2 linked regions of the Nothobranchius furzeri genome follow. Each later gene encodes a partner of the first gene's protein in a complex. Links are inferred from orthologs where the notes say so. Each region holds a gene or a part of one and is shown in the gene's direction. Other genes may lie near its edges. The genes, in order: baz1a and chrac1.

Region 1 (2,927 bases):
GTTTGCCCACCTGAAAGAGCAAACGTGCACCTTTCAGTACTATCCTCAGTTTGAGACGAAGACCCCCTCACATTCCTGGACCAAACAGGCTGCTCTGTGAGGACCATGTTCTTTGGTTCCTCCAGTGTCAGAAGCTCTAGAACATACAAGTGGACGCCTTCACAGCCACCTGAGTCTGTGAGACTGAGGGATCGAGCGCAACGGCTAAATACATATAGCGGAAACCCTGAAAGCATCTAATTTCCCTTTAGGACTAATCATATTTTAATTTGTCTAATTTCTTCTTTCAGTTCAACCTTCACCATGTTTTATCTTCATAAGGTTTCACCCGTGTCTCTGTTCAGGTTCCTGATTACTACGACATCATCAAGAAGCCCATCGCTCTGAGCACCATCAGAGAGAAGATCAACAACTGTGAATATCAGACTGCAGGTGAGAGACGCTTCATCAGCAGCTCGGGGTTTTGTTATATAACTCACAAAGTAAAACAAGTTTTTTAATTGCATTTTTTAAATAAATAATGAAAATGAGTTATTAACACACTGTAGTAGATATTAGACCTACGTGGTACAATCAATCAATCAATCAAATTTTATGTGTATAGCACCTTCCACTGCCCTTGCATTGAACATAACATAGAAACAACAAAAGAGCAAAGAGACCACAATTCTAAAAATTCATATTACATAAAAGCCAAACGATAAAATAAGTAAGTCTTCAAACGACTCTTAAAGACCTGCAGTGATGGGGACTGTTTGACAAGTGGAAGCTCGTTCCATAGTGTTGGAGCTAGGACAGAAAAGGCCCCATCACCTCGTTTTTTCAGCCTTGTTCTTGGGACGATGAGCAAATCTTGGTTAGCTGAGCGAAGAGAGCATGTAGGGGCATGCATCTGAAGCAGCCCAGCCAGATGTGGTGGGGAACCACCGTTGATGGACCGAAAGACAAACAAGACAAAAAACTTTGCCCGGCAGTCCACAGGAAGCCAATGTAGGGAAGCCAGAACAGGAGTAATGTGTGTTGTTTTGTTCGAGCCTGTCAGAATGTTAGCTGTTAAAACAAAATCTACATCATGTGACCTAATCTGACCAGTGGTCATGTTTCACTCTGCTCAATTTAGTTGATTTGTTGTTTTTCAGGAAAAGGTGGATTGATTATTATTATTATTATTAAATTGTTTATTTGATGCTTTTACTACTGAGGTTTGAAAATTAATTTTTTTTTCATGTCTATGAATTCTTACTAATCTGAAATAGTTAAGAAAATTTTAAAATGCACTCAAAATAGTCTCACTGGGTTAATTTAATTTAACATTCGCACTCTGGTAAGGAATACTTCTAACTCATCAATAGGGGTGTGCATTAGCAAATCTGGTGATGCATAATGTACATCACAATACAGGTGAGATGATACGATGTATTGTGATAAAAGCCAGATGATAGGGATGCATGTTTACCGGCATTTCTTTAACCGGCTATGTTCTTTAACCAGCCGGTTAACCGGAAACCAACCGGTATGAACTGCTGCCACCTAGCATCGGAGTGTGAATTGCACCACACAAAAAGAAATACATTAAATGTAAATTGTAAATAAAAACATGGATACTCTGCTTTTAAATATCAGTCAGTTTATAATAACGCAGAATACCACGATTTCCAGCACATCAATATTTTCTTACATGCCTAACCATCAACCAGGCCAGAGAATCAATGGCAAATAGTTGAGTCACTGAAAGTCCTTTCTTCTGCTCGAGTCATGCCGGTGCACACATCACCCCGCTACATGGTACTAATGTAACGCACAAACTGAAATGCACCAAACACGAATCAAGACGCGTCCTAAAAAGAGAGGACCACGAAATGCGATGATGTGTGCGATTATAAGAAACTTTGACCCTTTCTGGTGTTTGTAGGTGAATACATCTCCGATGTGGAGTTGATGTTCTTCAACTGTCTCCAGTATAATCAACGTCACACTAATGAGGCAAAGGCTGGACATCGCTTGCAGCAGTTCTTCCACTCAGAGCTCGGCCGACTCGGCCTATTAGAATGTGGCACCACCCCTCCTGCCAAACGCTCCCGACAGTGACCTCACGTTGACCTCACTACTGTTCATCTGCTGCTGATGTTGGACTTTGTTCTGCCAGCGTTATCGCATTGATCCATCCTCACAAACGTTTGTTTTCTCTGAACACATTTCAGACTAAACCCCTTAAAGAAAATGTGTTTAGTGTGAGAAAACACAAAGCTAGAGGGAAGCGATTTGTTAGTTAATGAAGTAAATGTTCAGATAAATGTTCTTTCTCTAGCCTCAGGGGTTTGTAGTTTTTGTTTGGTTCATGTTTTTTCTACTAAAACTGTTGTTGATGTCTTCACTGGTTTTTATTTCGCTGAATTCCTGCTTCCTAGAGCGTGCGTGCGTGCGTGCGCGTGCGTGTGCGTGTGTGTGTGTGTGTGTGTGTGTGTGTGTTTTCTGGATGGATTAGCTGTAGACACTACACTGGACCTGCTGCAGCCCTCCCCACTCCCTTTGATTTCCCTTTTGTATTTATTTTGTAGAAGCCTGTTTTTATTTATGATTGCTAGCTTTGTGTTAAAATAAATGTTTTCTAAATAGCCACTGCCCAGTTTCTGTAAGTCGGTTTCCTTTTTGCTTTTGGCTTTCCATGAGCTGTATAAGATGTGTTTTGCTGGAGCGGGTTGTGATGGTTCCTTACACATCTATGAAAAAGTAAACCATGGTAACAGATTGTTTTCTTAACCAGGTACAAACTAAAAGTGTGGATTTCAACAACTATCAAAACTTTAAGAAGAAAATATATTTTCTATAGCGCCTCTCAAGATAAAAATCACGAGGCGCCTCACAAAAACAAAAAATGTAAAATATAAAAATAATTTAGAAAATGATTAAAAATATATTTAAAATGA
Region 2 (4,256 bases), on another chromosome or scaffold:
GAAAACTATTGAAGTCAAGCGCCGCCTACTGGTGTGGAGGACTGCGTCGGGCGCTGGGCTGGGGCAGCTAAATGTGAGTCAGTATTTCCTTATTATCGTTGTTAAAATAGATATGAGTGCATGAACAACAACTTTGTGTTTTTTCAGGATTAAAATAATAAACTATTGATCACTAGTATCACTCATTCACATGTTTAAAAAGTTTGGATTGATATAGGAATTAACTTATTGAGTGCTGAAGCAGCGGCCTTCTTCTTCTTATCATTATTATTACAATGGGAGATAACCGTTTATTTGATTATTATCTGTTTAACAAAGTTGTTACTTTCCATGCCTTTGATTGTATCTTTTTCACTCTTTATTTTTACAGGTTTTTGCTGATTGAAAGACTGGCTTTCCCCACTAACAGACAAATAAAACGTCTTCTACTTTAAATTATTTAAATTATTAATATTTTTATTGTTAGTAGTAGCTAGTAGAAGTAGTAGAAGTAGTAGTAGTAGTAGTAGTAGTAGTAGTAGTAGTAGTAGTAGTAGTAGTAGTAGTAGGAGGAGGAGGAGGAGGAGGAGGAGGAGGAGGCAGAGTAGTAGTGGTGGTTGTTCCTGTTTTTTAATGTATTTCATATTTTTTACAGATTTCCTTAAAAGTTTTTAGAAAATTGGTATAATCCTTTGAGGAACTAAAATAATGTTAATTACTTTTGTTTACTTTTATAAACAATTCTGCAGTTTATTTTACTGTATTCTAACAAACACATTTTTACACTAGGACCTGTGATTCATGGAGAATAGAAACAAATGCAAACAAAATAAAAAGAGTTCCATTTCCTTTGCCTCACTATGGCAAAAATAATGATAGAGTTTATTCGAGATTATTCATTTGTATATTTAAGTATATTATATTAAATTATATTATATTAAATATAATAGTTTTAAACAAGCTGAAAGTTGTTTCTCTCAAGCATGGTTCTGTTTTGACCGTTTCCCAAGAGCTGGTTGGAATGATTGTCAGGTACTTTTTTAAAATACAAATATAGTATCAGGGTAAAATTTAATTACTATTTATTAAATTTAATCTAAATATACAGTGTTGTTTGAAATAACATCTTTTGTGCTGGGTTATACTCCTGCTTTCCAGCGGGAGGCGCTGTTTCAACGTAAAGACCACCAAAGAAATTGAAGACGGCGAAGAAGAAAGGCGTCACTCTTCAAAACAAAACTTAAAGTTCAGTCATTCTTGTCCTTTGTCCAAACAGAAATGTCTCGAAACAACCCAAACAAAGACAGCCAGACGCCGGACGCCAAAAAGTCCATCTCTCTCCCGGTGTCCCGGGTCAGACTGATCATGAAGAGCTCTCCGGATGTCTCCAGCATCAACCAAGACGCGCTGTTCCTCACCACCAAGGCTACTGTAAGCTGCCCTTGATGCTAATGTGGTTGTGTTTCTATTAGCGGGGGGTTAGCATAACTAGCTGGTGGTTGAACTAAAATCGTGTGAAGTTAAAATCGCTAAATATAGTTTTTAATCTGTTGTAAAGGAGCTGTTTGTGCAGCATCTGGCCCTGTCCTCCTTCAACAACGGCTCCGGGAAGGACAGCAACACCCTGGAATACAGCGACCTAGCTAAAACCACCGAGGAGAACGAGACCTTCCACTTCCTCACAGGCGAGTCTGGAGCTGAGCATCAGCGCGTCCTGAAGCCAGATTATTAGATACACTGGCCTTTATTGTATTTTAATGTTTTATTTATAAATAAGTGTTTTAATAAAGTCCCAGACACGAGGAAAATAGCAAAACGCCATTGGAAGCTAGCTTTTGGACCATTTAGGAAGATTTATTTTAGCTTTCCTGTATTTTACTGCCAAAAATGAAAGATTGGAATGAAACAGAATCAAACCAATAAAAAAAAACTTACAGATGAGAGAGAGAGCGATATGAATTTTCCACAAGAACTGTAAGCCGCTTACATTTATTTTAGCAACATGTAATTTTTGTGCCATTTGAACTTTATTTCTCAGAGAAAAGACCGATAATAAATAAAATTTATACTGAAAAACAGGTTTTTTTAATCTGACAGATATTTTGCCGAAGAAGATCTTGGCTCGAGATTACCTCAAGACTTTGGAGCAGATGCAAGAAGAAGAAGAAGAAGCTGATCTTTGACATGAAAGCCACTTTCCCTGGTGTGTGTGTGTGTGTGTGTGTGTGTGTGTGTGTGTGTGTGTGTGTGTGTGTGTGTGTGTGTGTGTGTGTGTGTGTGTGTCAGAGGAGACACTTATGGACTTTAGAGCTTTTTAAACACACGGTCTTGGAGAAGGTGGAGCTTAAATTGCCTCAGAGCTCAGCTCTGAGGAATTTAGACCAAATAATGGCAGTAAGCAAATAAGATATTTAACACTGGTTTAAAAGGCAGCACAGACCAATCAGTTCAGTTTAACATTTTAATTTTGGCTGAACACAGTCGGGGCTGTCTTTTAGGTGCTTCCACTTGCACCAGAAGTGAACCGTTACCTCCTAACAGACGTGACAAGCAGCTGGAACACAGACGTGACAGAAAACACGAGTGGATGAAAAACTTCATCCACCTGTAGAGAGGCGACGTGTTTAGATGAGAGACTGCGAAGCAGCGTTTGTGCCTCTCCAGATGTGAAATGCCACCTCAGCTTCACGTCATTTTCTTTGTTAAAATGTCTCAGAGGGAATCGTCGTTGTGAATTTACTCGTGTGTTTAGATTTGATATAAAATAAAGATGAATGCTAAAATAAATGCCTCTCGTGTCAAGATCCGATGTTTTATACTTTTATGATGTTTCACAAGCATGTTGCAGGGGATTGTGGTTGATATTTAGTTAGCTGCTGCATGAATGGAACATGAATCGTCAGCGTCGGGTCAGCTTCGCGAGTCGAAGCTGAAAATGAAACAGATTCTTCTCTAAAGTAGAAAAGTGACTCTCCAGGCTGTTCGCCGTGCGCGCTCTCCTGTCGAGACCGTCCCTCGTGTTGGCGAGATGATCGTTCAGCCTAAAGAGGACGAAACGAGTAAATATGGATAAGTTTGTTTTTAATCAAACAAACACATTCAGTTAACGACCTCTGATGTCCAGATGATGACTCAGCTTGTTTTCTACTTTTAGATCCATCATGTAATAATCCAGATTTCACGTGCCTCGTTAAGGATTCATAGCTAACCTCCACAGCTGACTCTGGATCAGTTTGTTCATGTAAAACAATCTGAACAGCTCATTTGCAAGAAATAGCAGATTTGTCTTTTTCAGCAGCCTGCTTAATCTCTTAATCTCACTCTTAAATTCTCAGTCTCACTATTTTAATCTCAATCTCACTATTTTAATCTCTCAGTATCACTCTTTCTTTCTTTCTCTCTCAATATCTCTCTTAATCTCTCAATCTCACTTTTAATCCCTCAGTTTCTCTGTGTCTCAGTATCCCAATCTCCCTCATAATCTCTCAATCTTTCTTAATCCTTCTCTCTCAATCTCTCTGTTATTCAGTTTCTCTCCCCCCCCCCTCAATATCACTCTTAATCTCTCAATCTCACTTTTAATCCCTCAGTTTCCCTTTGTCTCAGTATCCCAATCTCCCTCATAATCTCTCAATCTCTCTTAATCCTTCTTTCTCAATCTCTCTGTTATTCAGTTTCTCCCCCCCCCTCAATATCACTCTTAATCTCTCAATCTCACTTTTAATCCCTCAGTTTCCCTTTGTCTCAGTATCCCAATCTCCCTCATAATCTCTCAATCTTTCTTAATCCTTCTCTCTCAATCTCTCTGTTATTCAGTTTCTCCCCCCCCCTCAATATCTCTCTTAATCTCTCAATCTCACTTTTAATCCCTCAGTTTCCCTTTGTCTCAGTATCCCAATCTCCCTCATAATCTCTCAATCTTTCTTAATCCTTCTCTCTCAATCTCTCTGTTATTCAGTTTCCCCCCCCCCCCTCAATATCTCTCTTAATCTCTCAATCTCACTTTTAATCCCTCAGTTTCTCTGTGTCTCAGTATCCCAATCTCCCTCATAATCTCTCAATCTTTCTTAATCCTTCTCTCTCAATCTCTCTGTTATTCAGTTTCTCTCCCCCCCCTCAATATCACTCTTAATCTCTCAATCTCACTTTTAATCCCTCAGTTTCTCTTTGTCTCAGTATCCCAATCTCCCTCATAATCTCTCAATCTCTCTTAATCCTTCTTTCTCAATCTCTCTGTTATTCAGTTCCCCCCCCCCCCCTCAATATCACTCTTAATC

What was found.
Region 2: baz1a (region 1) and chrac1 share a complex: the UniProt entries of both Homo sapiens proteins name them as parts of the CHRAC ISWI chromatin remodeling complex. The link is inferred for Nothobranchius furzeri from reciprocal best matches to the Homo sapiens genes BAZ1A and CHRAC1.

Annotation. Positions count from the first base shown.
Region 1 is NC_091758.1:18,204,410-18,207,336, forward strand, and holds the end of baz1a (bromodomain adjacent to zinc finger domain protein 1A), read left to right. Parts: intron 1-344; coding exon 345-432; intron 433-1,912; coding exon 1,913-2,088; 3' UTR 2,089-2,282; downstream 2,283-2,927. UniProt on the Homo sapiens protein: Regulatory subunit of the ATP-dependent ACF-1 and ACF-5 ISWI chromatin remodeling complexes, which form ordered nucleosome arrays on chromatin and slide edge- and center-positioned histone octamers away from their original location on the DNA template to facilitate access to DNA during DNA-templated processes such as DNA replication, transcription, and repair.
Region 2 is NC_091759.1:18,090,685-18,094,940, forward strand, and holds the start of chrac1 (chromatin accessibility complex protein 1), read left to right. Parts: upstream 1-1,151; 5' UTR 1,152-1,257; coding exon 1,258-1,410; intron 1,411-1,537; coding exon 1,538-1,664; intron 1,665-2,076; coding exon 2,077-2,162; 3' UTR 2,163-2,182; exon of another isoform or gene 2,183-2,301; intron 2,302-2,477; exon of another isoform or gene 2,478-2,568; intron 2,569-2,786; exon of another isoform or gene 2,787-2,878; coding exon of another isoform or gene 2,879-3,020; intron 3,021-4,256. Other genes in the region: uncharacterized protein si:ch211-57n23.1, read right to left, coding at 2,879-3,020. UniProt on the Homo sapiens protein: Forms a complex with DNA polymerase epsilon subunit POLE3 and binds naked DNA, which is then incorporated into chromatin, aided by the nucleosome remodeling activity of ISWI/SNF2H and ACF1.